2 separate regions of the Mus musculus genome follow, and region 2 is reported to be linked to region 1. The links are microRNA targets in miRTarBase. Many come from high-throughput screens and were not tested one by one. Region 1 holds a microRNA gene; the other region holds the end of a gene's coding sequence.

Region 1 (8,260 bases):
TTCTTGTAACATCCGAAGGGATTCAGGTTTATGCTAACTAAACCAACCCCTAAGTGGAAACTGGCCAGGCCAAGGGAAGGTACCCACTAGCCAGCAGGTAATGGCTCTGGTGTACCCCAGCGAACTACCAGCCTGGGCCACATGACGTTCCTACTGCATCTGTGACAAACCACTATAAACTCAGTGTCTTCAAAGACTTTAACCACACAGTCTTCCAAGTCAACCACAGGCCTTACTGGGGTGAAGTCAGGGGTCAGCAGTTCTGTTCCATTTGGGAGGCTGGAGGGGAGCTGGTCTGTTGTCTTACTCTCCCATCTCAGAACGTGGCATATTCCTTGCCAGGGCCCTCTTACTCCATCCTTGAGCCAGCAGTGCTGGGTGTCCTCCAAACCCACATCTCCCTGACCACAGCCAGCAAGGGACTCTGCTTTGAAGGCTTCTGGTCCAGCCCGGGTGCATCTCAAGGCGCCTGACCTATTTCTTCTGCCAAGCCCATGTAAGATTACATTTTTGCAGACTGTATGGGTTAGGACAAGGACTTTTTTTCTTAAGAAGTTTTAAATTTATGTGTTTGTATATGTGCATGTGCACTGGTTGCCCAAGGAGGTCAGAGGAGGGTAACTTACAGTGGGAATCACCCCACATGGGTACTAGGATCAGGTTCTCTGTAAGAACAGTATCTGCTTCTCACCAATGAGCCACCTCTCCAGTCCCAAGGACAGGGTCCTCTGGTTTGTGTGAGAGGATCGTTGCTCTACCTACATACGTGCTGTGATAACTCCCGTCAGTGCTTAGAGACCTTTCTAGTCCTGTCTCTAACATGAACAGAGTCAAAGACGCAAGTAAACTCACAACACAAAAGCCTGAATACGCAAAGCACCTGAAGACAACGGCAGGGGAGAGAAAACTCAAACACAGGTAAGAAATCAACAGCCTGAAACAGCTGTGAATCCTCACCCCAGGGAAGAATGGCATTCAAGACCTACCTTTCAGATACTGAAGTCCATTAGCAGACATGCTCACTCACTGTGATGTTTAGAAGACATGGTGGGAGTTCTTCCAGAAAGCAGAACAAAGAGACAGAAAGGAGACAGGGAGCGGTAAGGCAAGCCATGCGGTGAGTGGCAAAGGTGAAGGCCAGAGGATTAAGAAGGCAGGGACTTTGTTGTCCACAATGACAGCAATGTCAAATGCCCTGCCCAGGGAGTGAAGACAGCTCTCCCAAGGCCCAGGACCAACCACTGAAGAACACAGACTACAGGGTTAACCAAGTCTCCTACTTCCAGAGCAAAGGGCCTATTGATTAGCTCTGCATTCTACTTCAATCCTGCATACTAGAGAATGAAAGTCTGAAGGATTTTCTTTTTCTAACCAGACATTCCATACCAAAAATTGTACCCTGCCCCCCGGCCCCCCCAAAAAAGTTCCACCAGTCTTCCCCAGATGACTACCGAAGGATGTGTGTGCTTCTTTAACACACACACACACAGAACGAACACATATACAGACTCTCAGACAGGAGCTGGCTGACAGACTCTCAGACAGGAGCTGGCTGACAGACTCTCAGACAGGAGCTGGCTGAGAGGATTAAAGAGATGAGGACCTGGAATGTATTTAGCCCAGGAAGGAAGCAAGGGAACCAGAGAGCTGAGAAAGGCACTCACCCAGACCAGTGTGGGAGGAAGCTGGGCTCCGAGAAACCAAAGCCTGTCCCAGCACGCTGGGAGGGAAGCTGAAAGCTCCACAGTCGCTATGAGGAGTGCATGGGAAAGTTCAGGGAAACAACGTTTAAAATGATAGTTACTCATCTCAGAATTTAATAAGGTTTCTGAAGGAATGTGAATCTGTATGGGTGGGCTACAAAAAAATCCCTCTCTATATTACCAATATTCCCCATTACCAACACTAGTTCTTCTATGTGCATGTGTGTACTCATGTGCACCTCAGGTTCTTCATGACAGCTGTCTACCTGGCCTTTTGCGGCCGGGTTGTTCACTAGTCCTTGACTTCACCTGGGCTGTAATTGGATTGTGAGGGTCAATGGAACGGCTGCTTTAAGGGGGAATGAGGGTTGTTAAAGTTAAATCCTCACATGGGGGAGGGAGCAGGGAAGAAAGTCAGAATGAAAGAAGAGCAGCGCAACGCTTTAAATGTAGGCAGTCAGAAGACACAGATAAAAGTTGAGGATACAGCTAATGGGAAAATATAGGTGCGGCAGTGGACAGCTACTTATTGCTATAGGGCTCAGTGCTAATCCAGTGCAGTCTGTGGATATATAACACATGAATCATATTAGAAGATTAAACTTAAAAACAAAACAGAACAGGACAATTTAAATGCCAAACTGGTAAGTATATAAGCAAGATGTGGCATGCCCACACAGTGAAATATTATTTAGTCATGAAAAGGGAACCGAGTTTGGATGAACGCACCGTGAGAGAACCATGAAAACGTCCCATTAAGTGAACTAAGCTGGATGGAGAATTTCACAGAGGGTGTGATTCTGTGAAATGTTCAGAACATGTAAATCTACAGAGAACAGATTTCACTCAGAGACAGGAAGTACATAATGAGTAAGGAATGCCTGGATTCAGGTTTTCTTTCGAGGTGAGGAGAACTAGACCTTGCTGATCTGTACAACTCCATGAAAGCTTTGCTCAAGAGCCTTTGTGTTATATACTCTAAAATGGTTCAAACGCTCCACTTCGGGTTTTCTGTAGCTGTGTCACTTTGTTCCTATTCTGTATCTGTGGTATACTCCCTCTTCATTTCAGTTCAACCCAAGCTGTTCAGTCTCAGCAGCAAACGCATTCTTCTGCTTTACGAGGCCGTGATGCTGACTTGGACAATGCGTAATGCGGGAGTAACTGAGGCTACACGCGATCCCATTCGGCTCAACAGGAACGAGCTATGAACGAAGGTCGGGATGCAGCAGGGTTAGGAATTACTTACACACGCAGCGCTTCAGCAATACTAACAGCCCGCTTGCCTTTTCATTCTGAAACACAAGCACAGAAAACTTGGATTTGGGGTTCTGGGCAGCGAGGTCTACTGCAGGAGTTCCGTTTTGTTTACCAAGGAAAAACTGTACAATCTATCTCGCCTAACCTTTTAGATCTAGCCAAAGCTTAGTCATTTGTATGATTCATCTGATTTTCCTTATTTATAAGTCTAGTTAAAGTTCAACCAGGAGGAAATGTAGCCTTAAGCACCACTTGGAAAGGCTACAAATACCACAGGCTAGGTGTGTCCAACCTGTGGCCCATGCCACCCCACCCCACCCCCTTCCCCTCAGGATAGCTATGAATGCTGTCCAACACATCACAAGTGTACTTAAAACCCACGAAATTATCTTTTGCAATCCCATTGTATTCTCTAATGTTAACTTTGTTGATGACAACATCGCATTGCAATGTAAATGGTTGGACACATCTACCAGACATGAGTTTGTCACACTTATTTTTATGCCTATTACTTGAGTCCCAGACACAGGTCCAGTTATCTGAACCATCTGTTACATCTAACTTATAGCTCTCCTGGTCTGGACAGCTAACCATGCAATGGCCAGTGGTCAGGCAGGCTAGGTGACTATCCCTATGTGAGCTGTTAGAACCTTATAGAAGTAAATATCCCCTGCTCCTCTCACATTGACTGGTCAGTCATTGGTTTGGCCCTTTATCCTCTAGTTACCGTCAAATCTGCAACCCATACACACTTTCTAAAACACACCCACCATCACTATGTGAATAGTTAACCATGCTGTTGCTGGGGCACGTGTTAATGAAAGTCAAGTTTAAGATAGGAAGAAAATGTACCTTAGCATGTTTTGGTATTTGTTTCTTAATTCTTACCTGTGGCTCCAACGTCAGCAATAACGTAGTCAGCTGAACGGTGCTCTTCCCCAATCATTATAACCGATTTCAGATGGTGCTAGAAAATTCTATTGACTCTGAACACCAAAAGAAATCAGTCATCCTCTAAGGGGTCACAAGAGGTCATGTGCACTGGGAAGGCCCAGGCCTTCAATCTGTCGTATATGTAGGTCTTCATCCGAGCATGGTGGAGTCCACTTCCAGAGAAGGCTTATTACATGAACAAGTATGCAATTCTAACGGTGGTTGACTAATCAGCTATCCATAACACAGAGGTAAGCAGGGTGGGCGAGGGCAGGCTCTGGTAGCCTGTTTTAGACACTGGACACTTACTTCAGGGCTGTACACTCATTTCTTTGTGCGGTCGGCAGCGAAGTAGTTCTCCACCAAGAACACTGATTTCAAATGGTGCTAGACAATCACTATTTAAATCTAAACCACCATATGAAACCAGCTTCCTGAAGAAGCTTTGTCGTCTGTTTTTGTGGCCTTCCTACGGAGAGGGAAGGTGAAGTCCGTGCAATAGTTCCTAATTTCAGGCGATCCTATGCTGACCTCATCTAGCAGGTGGGGGTGGGGGTGTGACATGTCGGTCACTCATGGCATTCTTCCCTCCAAATGGTAACTGAGCCCTCACCCGAGAGCAGACGTGGGACAGTGAGCACGAGGCTTACACATTCACGGTGCAGCGTGGCAGAGCTCAGCACACTTTTGATAAGCGTGACACTTTTTACTTCCAGATCGATCTGTTAGAGTCGACAAGTGAGCACAATTTGGGATCCTCTCAAAGGCAAAGCAACACACTGATGCTAATGAGACCCTGCCCCCTTTTGCCAGACTGCAGTAGTGAGTTCAGGTCTTTTGCTAACTCAATTCTCCTCCAGAAGTGAAGCTTTGAATCTTCGGTATCTGACAGATTATCACTATCATCAGTACTGCTGCTACTGCTACTACTATTACAGTTTTAAACAGGGTCTCACTATGTAGCCCTGGCTGTCCTCGTAACTCAGAGAGGCCCTGCTTCTGCTTCCTGAGTGCTGAGACTTTCTGGCTTCTTTCTTGTCTCCCTTCCATTAGCTCTTGACATGTGGTCTTGCTAGGCCAGGCCGTTTGCCGTCACTCTTTTGAATGTGTCAGGGACTCCAATAACTACACATCCACGGCCTTAAAAAAAAAAAAAACTATTTAGAAACATTTCAGATATTAGAATGTTAATGTCCTTTTTAAGAATACCTTTTTAAAAAGTTGTATGTTAAATTTCTTTTTAAAATATTTTTTTCAAATGTACTGACATTAAAATGATTATTAACATTTTCTCCCCCTTTATCCCTTCCTGCTCATTCTCAAATCCATGGCCTCTTTTTAATTGCTGTTACACACACACATTCTCCTAAGTACGTGACTACAGCCGGCTTAGTCCATGTAATTTCAGGGCTCACTACATGGCATTAACTTTCAATGATAATCAAACAAATTCCTGTATTTGTGCCTTCTGAATTAACAACTGAGCGTTTTTTGCTTTAGATATATAATCTACATTATTACCTATCCCTGGCATATGTGGTTCTTACTGAATTGTTTGAAAGCAAAGAGAAGATCAGCCAGGTGCTCTGCTCTCAGCTGCTGGGGCACAGCACTGTTTAAGAAATACTGAGATAAAAAATTAAAAAAAAAAAAGGAGAACATTTTTCTTTATAATTACAGTAAGCTGTCCTACCCGAGGAAACAAACAATTCCCTGGGACTGTGAAGTAGCCAGTGTGCATGGGACTTCACCTACTTTCTCAAAAGACAGTCTTATAGCTTTGCTTTTTACACTCAGATCTCATCAAGGCTGCGGGACCCCTCCTTGGTCCAGCACCACGAGGTGCCAGGCTACAGACTGGGAATCTATTTCAAAAAATAATAAAACATACCTAAATATTTTTTAAATGAAAGAAATAAACCTTTGACTAGTTTAAGAAAACCTTTCTTTCTCAAAATAAATAAATAAATAAAATAAAATAAAATAAAATAAAAACAGCACCAAACCGAAAGAAAATGTTCACTAAAGGTAGGCCTGAAAGGCCCTACGTCTAGAATATGTAAACCATTGGGGGCTGGAGAATGAGCTCGGTCATTAAGAGCACTTTTCTGAGTTCAGTTCCCAGCACACAGGCTGGCTTACAACTCCAGCCGAAGGGGATGTGATGCCCTCTTTGGCTTCGGTGGGCACCCATACACATGTGCACACATATGATAAAAACATGCATGCATGAACAAGCACACATTCATGCATACATGTACACACAGAGCTCTTCAGTCTGAATCCCAGTTTTCATGTAATTTCAGCAAGTCCCAGCTCCCTAGGAACAGGCTCACCATGAGAATAGTCTTGAAGTTAACAAAGAAACTCTCTATTATTGGCTGGCAGAGGGGTGGACAAGCCAGGGCCCTCTTCCCTCAGGACATGCATACAAGTGCGGACTCTGGGGCCTTCCATGGCCCTCAGCTACAAGCACAGCCCTCCCAAGAGGAACAGCTTCACTCACAAGTGTGCCCGTGCTTCCCTTCTCCCTTTAATGGACACACAACCTCATTACCCTTTAGTCTGGGGCTAGGGCATAAAAGAACTATTGTTTCTGTAGGCTGGGTTACTGTTATTTTTTAACTAGCAACAACTCTGCAGTATTACAACTCCTGAAAGGACAAAAATAAGAAACCTTACAATACACAGATCACACGCTGGGCTGGCAGACTCTTCACCCTATGAGTAGAAACAGTTATCTTCCAAGGATAGACCCCTAAGCAGCTCTCAGCTCACCAGCCATGAAAATGTGGGCCTGCTTCACAACCCAGCCTGCATGCTTCATGCTGCTCTTCAACGCACTGCCCTTCCTGTGCACTTCTGTCAAATCTGATAGGGAAATCGGGGCCTGGTCTGAGTCAGTAACCCACAGCAGGGCTCTGTGTGGAAAGGCCCTGCAGTAGATGCGTATTGCTCCCAGTGACGTGAGAAGCCAGTCTGTTCTTGTGTTGAGCAAACTGGATTAAGATAACTTCCCTCGGGGCTTGGAGATTTCACAAGAACTATCACATCCTGAACCAGCACCCCTTGAGGAACACAGCTTCAAAACGTTAGGGCCACCAGGACTCGGCAGGCCTAACCGGTGTGTCTGGGCCAGGCCACACGTGTCACTGCAGTAGCTGTGCTCACACATCTGGAAGCCGTACCCAGAAGAGCCGAGCTTTGTAAGGGTTAAATCAGGTAGTACATGAGATGATCGAACGAGCAATACGGAACTTTCCTTTGGCATTTTAGTAGAGGGATGCAGCTAAGAGGTCCAGCTCACAAGTGAGAGGCATACACGGATGTGTCAAAAAAAGATACCTTTGCCTTGTGCCTCCCATCTCCGCACACTTGAATGAGCACCTGCAAATATATTCTGATTACTTCTCCATTCAAGGGCCTCCACGCGGGACCTGTGCTGTCGCTGGTGAGCACAGGTTTCTGTAGGTCTTCCCTGGTTGTGAACTGGCAGCTGGGTGTGTAAGAGTGGCTATCAAACTCCGATGGTCACTTAAAAACTCACTGGAGACTCACCGTGGACAAAATACAGCAAGACCTCTTTAAGGGTGATTTGCAAGCATGCACCTCAACTTCTACAGGGCCACAAAGACAACCTGCTACAAGCATTTTCCAGGGACAGACACGCTGCAGAGAGCCTTCGTGAGAGGAGCAGTATGTGGTATTTCGGTGACACACGAACCTCAGGGTGTATCCCACGGACGTGGGGTTCTCTACTCAGACACTTTCAAAAGGTCCCTTCTCTCTGCTGTCCAGTGAGAGACATTTATTACTTCCTTCCGCAGGCACTGCTGTGGATTGGCTACCTGCATTTGGCGACACTGGGGTGGTTATGACTAAGGAGCACGGCCCTTGGCCTTCCACTTGGCACAGCAGCGAGGTGTACTGTGCAAGCTGGTGTAGGAGCTGCAGCATGCTATAAACCTGTAGATCCAACCAGAGCAAGAATGAAGGTGTCTTGCACAGGGTAGGAGAAGGTCTATTTTCAAGGGGAATTGGTAAGCCCTAAGGCTTTAGCAATGCAGGCTGCAGAAGGCCCACAGAGGGCGGACATTACACTTGTCTTTGAGAACAATCCTTTTTGCTCACTCTACAGCCAGGCAGAGGGCAATTATGGAACTCAAACTACATCATTCTACTCTTTCCTATGTGGTCTAACTTTAAGCCAGAGGTACCTTTCATCAGACAAGAAGCCAAGGGCGTAGGCGGTGCCATTTCCAAAATATTGATCACTCAGGTTAACAAACTGGGAATGCTGTCCCAGCAGGCCCACACAGGATGGTTTACAAGAGATTTAACAACTCAACAAAGAGAAGCCCAGT
Region 2 (8,260 bases), not on the chromosome of region 1:
TATGCCAACGGGGGCGAGGTAGGGCCACAGGCAGCTTCAGACCTGGGCACTTGATGGGTGAACTTGTCCCTCTGAGAGCTTTGAACCCTCTCTGTAGTACAGATCACTGGTGCTGCCAGCCCTGGCCATGTGAGCCTGTAGCTGCTCGTTTGGGGATGTCTTATTTCTGCTGAGTTGGAGTCTCGCAGTCTCCAGTTCTCTTTGGGGGCTAGTTCCTAACCTTCCCTCTGCCTGTGGGTAAGGGTTGGCGGGCCCTCACACAGGCCTTCCTCAGCGCGCTCCACCCCACAGCTCTTCTTCCACCTGTCTCGAGAGCGTGTGTTCTCCGAGGACCGGGCCCGCTTCTATGGTGCGGAGATTGTGTCTGCCCTGGACTACTTGCACTCCGAGAAGAACGTGGTGTACCGGGACCTGAAGGTGTGCTTATGGAGCAGGGCGGGTGGGGGCTGGGGGGTCTGGCCTCACTGACTGAGCGCCTTCCCACACAGCTGGAGAACCTCATGCTGGACAAGGACGGGCACATCAAGATAACGGACTTCGGGCTGTGCAAGGAGGGGATCAAGGACGGTGCCACTATGAAGACATTCTGCGGAACGCCGGAGTACCTGGCCCCTGAGGTGCTCTGCCACTTCCTGTGTGTTCCCTTACATCCTCCCACGCCCCGACACAACGCTGACAGAGTCCCCCATCTAGGTGCTGGAGGACAACGACTACGGCCGTGCAGTGGACTGGTGGGGGCTGGGCGTGGTCATGTACGAGATGATGTGTGGCCGCCTGCCCTTCTACAACCAGGACCACGAGAAGCTGTTCGAGCTGATCCTCATGGAGGAGATCCGCTTCCCGCGCACACTCGGCCCTGAGGCCAAGTCCCTGCTCTCCGGGCTGCTCAAGAAGGACCCTACACAGAGGTAAGGGCTGCCGGGGCTTCAGGCTCAGCCTCTAGACAGTGCTGCTGCCCACTGTACCCGCCACAGTCTCAGTCACATGTCGGGTGGGGTGGTCAGGCAGCTAGGGGTATCCCTACCCTGCGAGTATCCCCGTGACCTGTCACCTTGCACGCAGTGTCTGAGCCCTGGACCTGTCTCCTACCCACAGGCTCGGTGGGGGCTCCGAGGATGCCAAGGAGATCATGCAGCACCGGTTCTTTGCCAACATCGTGTGGCAGGATGTGTATGAGAAGAAGGTGTGCATCTGGCCACTGTGCCCATCTCTGGATCACATACGTGTGTGCATACATATAAACACTCTCACTCTGGCCACTGTGCCCATCTCTGGATCACATGTGTGCACACATGCAAACACTCCTGTTTTTGCTGGCTCAGACACGCATGCTGGGCCCACAGCCTTGTGTAGTCACATGCCCCCACAGAGCCACAGGGTTGTGCACAGCCTTCTCGCTCGCACAGAAGAGGGTAGTATGCTGCCCTGCATACCTCGCACAGTCACCTGGCCTCTCCAGGCCCTCAATTGTGCCCCTGTTGCCTACACCTGTTGCTTGCTCCTGTCCTTTGCCTGGAGATCGCCTCATGTGCCCTATGATGAAAGCTAGCCGAGGGTGGGGGGTAATGTCTAGGTGTCTCCAACTCTAGGGCGAGCCTAATCCCATTCTGGGACGGCCCCTGCCCGTCTGGCACAGTGTAGGCCACTGCAGAGAGCAGAGCCCCTTGTACTCACCCCTAAGTGTGATTCTCTTCAGCTCCTAAGTACCCCTGGCCCAGGCTGATGAGGGACACAGCAGGTGGTCTCAACACTCTACCTTGATGTGTTGGGTGCCCTGTTACCCCCTGCCTTGAGTGTACCTTCTAGATAACACGGGGCCAGCAGCATGTGGGGGTGTGGATGGCATGCCTTTCCTGCCCACACTCAACTAGAGATCCCATGAAGTCCGCATTGCCCTCACACCAGATTTGGGAGGGATGGCAATTGAGGGTCCTTGCCTGTGAGACCCAAAAGGATGTTAGCAGCCTCCAGTGCATACACCACTCTGCAGCTTATCTTCTTCATGGGCTGTCAGTGAGGCAGGCGAGCTCACCTGAAGACTGCTTTGAGTCCTGCCACAGCTGTGGTGGTGCCACTGTGTGCCTTTAGTCCCAGCACCTGGGAGGCAGGAGCAGGTGGATCTCTGAGTTTGAGGCCAGCCTGGTTTACAGAGGTAGTTCCTAGGGCTACACAGAACCCCAGTTTCAAAAAATGGAAAGGGAAGAAAAAAAAAAAAACTCAGAAGGGAAATGACAACCAGAGAACGGAGTTCCCACTGCCTGGAGGTGGGCAGTCACTACCCTCTCGTCACTTTGGGCATCTCTGGGCTTGCTCTCCCCTGCCTACACTGCCCTACCCAGTTCCATCTCCTAGAGCTGTTCCCTAGTGCTAGTGCCCACCCGATAAGGTCAGTATTGCCCAGAGAGGATGGAGGGATTGGAACCCAGTAGTAACCAGGCCTTCTGTTGCTCCTCAGCTGAGCCCACCTTTCAAGCCCCAGGTCACCTCTGAGACTGACACCAGGTATTTCGATGAGGAGTTCACAGCTCAGATGATCACCATCACGCCGCCTGATCAAGGTGAGGCCACCCCACTCCATGGCCCCTCAGTGTCTGGCTTGCACTCCTGCTTTTTTTGGGGGGGAACTGGAGTTAACAGGTGGTTGTGAGTAGCCACGTGGGCACTGGAACTGAACCCGGGTCCTCTACCAGAGCAGCCAGTGCTCTTAACCACTAAGCTCTCTCTCAGCCCCAAAACTAAAAGAATCAAACAAACCCTTTGGAGGGTGGTAGCAGCTTGGCGGGGAGGGAGGGAGTGTTCTGAGGGCCAGAGTCACTGCCCCCTCACAGGGCCCCCTTGTATCCTCTGGCATGTGTCAGGTGGGCGGGCTGTTTCTAGAGATGGTCTGAGCCCTCCTGTGGCCCACAGATGACAGCATGGAGTGTGTGGACAGTGAGCGGAGGCCGCACTTCCCCCAGTTCTCCTACTCAGCCAGTGGCACAGCCTGAGGCCTGGGGCAGCGGCTGGCAGCTCCACGCTCCTCTGCATTGCCGAGTCCAGAAGCCCCGCATGGATCATCTGAACCTGATGTTTTGTTTCTCGGATGCGCTGGGGAGGAACCTTGCCAGCCTCCAGGACCAGGGGAGGATGTTTCTACTGTGGGCAGCAGCCTACCTCCCAGCCAGGTCAGGAGGAAAACTATCCTGGGGTTTTTCTTAATTTATTTCATCCAGTTTGAGACCACACATGTGGCCTCAGTGCCCAGAACAATTAGATTCATGTAGAAAACTATTAAGGACTGACGCGACCATGTGCAATGTGGGCTCATGGGTCTGGGTGGGTCCCGTCACTGCCCCCATTGGCCTGTCCACCCTGGCCGCCACCTGTCTCTAGGGTCCAGGGCCAAAGTCCAGCAAGAAGGCACCAGAAGCACCCCCCTGTGGTATGCTAACTGGCCCTCTCCCTCTGGGCGGGGAGAGGTCACAGCTGCTTCAGCCCTAGGGCTGGATGGGATGGCCAGGGCTCAAGTGAGGTTGACAGAGGAACAAGAATCCAGTTTGTTGCTGTGTCCCATGCTGTTCAGAGACATTTAGGGGATTTTAATCTTGGTGACAGGAGAGCCCCTGCCCTCCCGCACCCGCTCCCGCGTGGTGGCTCTTAGCGGGTACCCTGGGAGCGCCTGCCTCACGTGAGCCCTTCTCCTAGCACTTGTCCTTTTAGATGCTTTCCCTCTCCCGCTGTCCGTCACCCTGGCCTGTCCCCTCCCGGCCAGACGCTGGCCATTGCTGCACCATGTCGTTTTTTACAACATTCAGCTTCAGCATTTTTACTATTATAATAAGAAACTGTCCCTCCAAATTCAATAAAAATTGCTTTTCAAGCTTGTGGTTTGCTTTCTGGTGTGGAGCGTCACAGCCTTGTTAGTGGGTGGGAGGTGAAGGGGTGTGGCTGGGGTCACATCAGGGTGGGTCCTGGGAACTGGTCCCTGAGGCTCCAGGGGATGTCGTCCTCATGGCAGGACACTCCTGACAGAAGTGGGAGGATCTTGACTGTCTCTGGAGTCTACTCTTGCAGTGACCCTCCCTGGCCATCTAAGACACCTGCCAGCCCCAGCTGTCGTGTGTCTGGCAGAGCAATAAGCCAGGCCCTGATACCAGGAAGGATAATGCGCTGGCGATACAGTTCAAAAAGGCTCAGGAGGCTTTGGTTGAGGTGACATAGCACATCTGTGACTGAACAGAACTGGGGACTGTTCTGGGTCTGGACAGAGGTGACAGGAACCAAGGTCACTCTAGAGTGTCTGCGATCCTGAGTCCAAGCCGCCACCAAGATATACTGAGTATGTTGCTGGTGACACCTGGTGACTACTGGTGGAACTGCAGCAAGCAACAGCAACTGCTCAGCAAAACATTTAGAGGCCTCCAGCCAGATGGCCTCCCCTAAGGCATGGACTACACATATACAGAGCCTAGTGGCTGGTGGCCTTGCTGGGATGGTGTCTGACTCCTGCAAAGTTAGGGTGGGTGATGATCTGGACCTCTGGAAAATAAGAATATCCACTTCTATAACAGCCAAAGATTTTCTCTAGATGACCACAAGCCCTCTGGAACCGTACACAGCATTGCCTACTTTGGGTTTGTTTGTTTGTTTGTTTAGAGACAGGGTTTCTCTGAATAGCCCTGGCTGTCCTGGAACTCACTTTGTAGACCAGGCTGGCCTCGAACTCAGAAATCTGCCTGCCTCTGCCTCCCAAGTGCTAGGATTAAAGGCGTGCGCCACCACTGCCCAGCACTTACTGACTTTGAAGTAAGATTTATAGACAACACCGGCTGGGTAAACACCTTTAGTCCTAGCACTTGAGTTCAAGGCCAGCAAGGTCAATGTAGCAAGATCCAGTCAGGAGGGAAGAGAGGGAGGGAAGGAGGAAGGAAGGAAATAAGGACTGTAGTGCTTTCTGTGGCCCTCAGACTTAGCACTAAATCTTACCTAAAGTGGCTGAAACGTAGAAACAAACACAGCTAAAGCCAGGGCTGGGCCGGCTACAGGCTGCTCTTTCCACAAGACCCCTCAGGTATGTGTCTCTAGTACAGAGGAGGGAGCCCTGAAGTTGTGCCCTCAACACAGAGGTGGGCAAAGCTCTCTTCCTGAGCCCACTGTTACTCATGAAAGCTGCCCAACATGATCATTGTAGGTGAGAGCGGACATCTAGGGAATGCTCTTGGGAAGTGGTACCCTCTCCCCGAAGACAGGCCTGGCCTAGCCTGAACCACCAGAGCAGATAGGGGATAGACCCTGTGGCCATGGTAGGGTCTGGTAAGCTTAAATGAGGTAAGTAATTCATAAGGCAGGAAGTAGAATGGTGCTTGCTAGGGTGGAGATCGGTGGGAATGAGGTGTGTAGCCACTTGATGACTATAGTTTCCATTTAGGGAAATGACCTACACTAAGGCCAAGAAAGGAGGGAGCAAAGTTTACTATTTGTCTTATGGGAACCGAGTTGAAACAAGACCTTTTGAGTTCTGTTCTAGGATATAGTTAAGTGTTTGTAGTATAGCACTAGAGAGATGTGAGCAAACACCTATTCACCCCAGCTAAGGAACCAATGACAGCAGAGTACAGATACCACCAAAGCCCGACCTGGAGGACCAGTGAGTTTGACAGTGGCATATGAGAATATAGGTTGTTTACAGGAACAGAGATGACTCAGAAGACAGCTGCATTGCCAAGGCATGGGTGACAGCTCACAAAAGCATACCCCAAAACAAACTACAGGCAGCTGAACAGGCTAGAAAGTGATCTGAGCCTCGAGGCAGCTCAGCTGATCTGAGAACGTTTGGGAGGGGAAGCCCTAGTGAATGTGGTCAGTTTCAGGGACTTCCTAAAGCCCTCAAGTTTGCTTGCTGAGCTTAAGGAGCTTCCCTGCAGGAGTGTTCTACCATGCCCCACCCTCACCATCCTGTGTCTTAAAGAGCTCTCCAAGATGGAAAACTGCTACGCAACAGTAATGGTGACAATGGCTTTGTCAGGCATGGCTTTCACCACAAAGGAGAGGCCAGGCAGTCTGCATTAGGAGAGGGAGGCCTACCTACGGAGCATGAAGATGGTGGTGAGGATCCTGCCCATATCCCTTCTTTTTTGTTTGTTTTGTTTTGTTTTTTTCGAGACAGGGTTTCTCTGTGTAGCCCTGGCTGTCCTGGAACTCACTTTGTAGACCAGGCTGGCCTCGAACTCAGAAATCTGCCTGCCTCTGCCTCCCAAGTGTACCAAAGTGTATTAAAGGCGTGTACCACCACCGCCCGGCTTCCATATCCCTTCTTTATTGGGAATGGGGACTGCTTCTTGTTCCCTCCCTTGCTCTCAACAACGTGATTAATTAACACCATCAAGGATGCTTTGATCCACTGGCAATCTGCTGTGCAAACTTTGGCTATCCTAGCTCTCATCCCCCAGTCTTCTCGATCCTTTTCACAAGCTCTCTCAATCTCCTCCCACACCACAGGTGGATGCTCAGCAGGCAGGGTTCTCAGCAGAACCTGGGTTCATCTCATCCCCTCTGGGGTTATCATCTGACGCTGGGTGCTGTCCAATATCTAAGTACTTTGTTCTTTTTTTAAAGTTGGCTAGGGACCGGGGCATCTGTTGGCAAAATGCTTGCCATGTAAGCATGCCCCAAGTTTGGCCCCCACAATTGTATTTACAAAGCACAGCGGTGGCATTGGTTTACACTCCTAATGCTAGGGAGGCCGACGCGGGGCGGGGGGCCTGAGGCTTGCTGTCCACAGTTTAACTTAATCCGTGAGCTCCAGGCCAAATGGGGCCTAGCCTCAAAAGCCAAACCACCCACAAACCAAATAAAACCCAAACAACACCAAGTAGATTGCTGGCTCCACACATGCAAACTCAGGCATGCACCCCACACTGACATGCACACTCAAATACACTCCCCGCTACCTCATGGCTGGATGCTGGGCAGATTACTACAAGTCTGTGACATGTAAGATGTCATTTGAAGCTACGTCACAGCTCTCAGGAATCTGCATGGCAGCTGGAAGGAATAACAAGCATCCATCTGTATTCTCTATGGTGGATCAGAAAAGCCTACAGGGCTGTGCAGTAAGGACTAGGATGCTTCTGAGCCCAACCCAGAGAGACATAAACGAACATACAAACACCCAGAGGAAGGGCCTCCAGCCAAGAAGGGAGCCAAGAAGGTCTAAGGTGAAAGAAAGCATGTTGAGCATGCTGGGAGGTAGACTGAACCCCCAGCGGGGCAGGAAGCAGGAGAGGTAAAGTCTGGTGTTTATGAGAGAGGGCAGCCTGAAGGTGTTGGGGACTGGGCAATGATTCCCACTGGTGACAGAGATGGGCTAGCTACAGCAGAAGCTCATAGTACAAAGACTCTAGGCCAGGATAAAACAGCACCAGAAGCCATGGGATGGGTGTGGGGTACGGTCAGGGTTTGCTTTGGCCACCAACAGCCAGCTCAAGTGGCTTAGTGGCTTCAAGCCAGCTAATCGAGTCAGGTGTGGTGGCGCACGCCTTTAGTTCCAAAACTCAGGAGGCAGAGGCAGGTGGATCTCTGAGTTCAAGGACAGCCAGGGCTACACAGTGAGCCCTTGCCACAAAGAAAATTAAATAGACAGACAAATAGACAGACTCCAGTTAGGATCCCCAGATTCCATTTTCAGAGCCGCAGTCGCTGGCCTATCTGGGTGCCCTGCCCCGCCCCACCCCCAGCAAGGCTACAGCAGCTAACTGCTACCTTGGGCCCTAATGGGCCCAGCTCCTGGTCACTACCTACAGACCACCAGCTTCCACACTTAAAACCAGCCAGAGTCCCATTATCCACAGCAATAAGGGAACTTCCCAGGTGCGTAAGGCCTTTCCCCACCTCAGCCCTCTCTAGCCTCCTGCTCACGTAGGGCCTCTGGGCCAACTTTTCAGTAGTATAGGGAAACTTGAACCAACCCCATCTAGGACAGCACCTCCTCGATATGTATGGGAACTAACCGTAGTTGTTCTTAGAGATCAGGACAAGGAGACCTCTGCCCTATCTACCCAGCCAACCACTTGTAAGTAGGAGACCCAGGTGGCTGCAGTGACTGGCCCACCATTATCTTCCAGGCCATGTTACCTCCTGTGAACTCCTTAGAGCCCTGCATAAACTACCTCTGAAGATATGGTGAGGACTGTCACAACCACACAGGACATTCCACAGGGCCAAACCCCTGGAGGACAAGGGCTCATTAAATCACCTGGAACCCAGCAGTGTAGGTATTGAT

The links. Region 1 holds the annotated microRNA mmu-miR-29b-1-5p (GCUGGUUUCAUAUGGUGGUUUA, at 4,306-4,327, opposite strand). A microRNA usually pairs through its seed, bases 2 to 8, with sites in the 3' UTR of a target mRNA and lowers its output. Matches are read on the target gene's strand: a 7mer-m8 pairs with bases 2 to 8, a 7mer-A1 pairs with bases 2 to 7 and ends in A, and an 8mer does both.
Region 2: the mRNA of Akt1 is a reported target of mmu-miR-29b-1-5p. The part of its 3' UTR that is shown has no 7-base or 8-base seed match.

What each region holds. Positions count from the first base shown.
Region 1 is chr6:31,058,762-31,067,021 of GRCm38, forward strand. It overlaps Mir29b-1 (microRNA 29b-1), which reads right to left and starts at 4,332; the gene lies at 4,262-4,332. It overlaps Mir29a (microRNA 29a), which reads right to left and starts at 3,986; the gene lies at 3,899-3,986.
Region 2 is chr12:112,649,425-112,657,684 of GRCm38, reverse strand. It overlaps Akt1 (thymoma viral proto-oncogene 1), which reads left to right. Exons shown (of 14, transcript NM_009652.3): 8 at 1-18; 9 at 292-417; 10 at 489-617; 11 at 694-908; 12 at 1,096-1,183; 13 at 2,456-2,558; 14 at 2,908-3,864. The coding sequence ends at 2,987. Among named protein-coding and RNA genes, the nearest start is that of Mir6939, 5.8 kb to the left of the region's middle.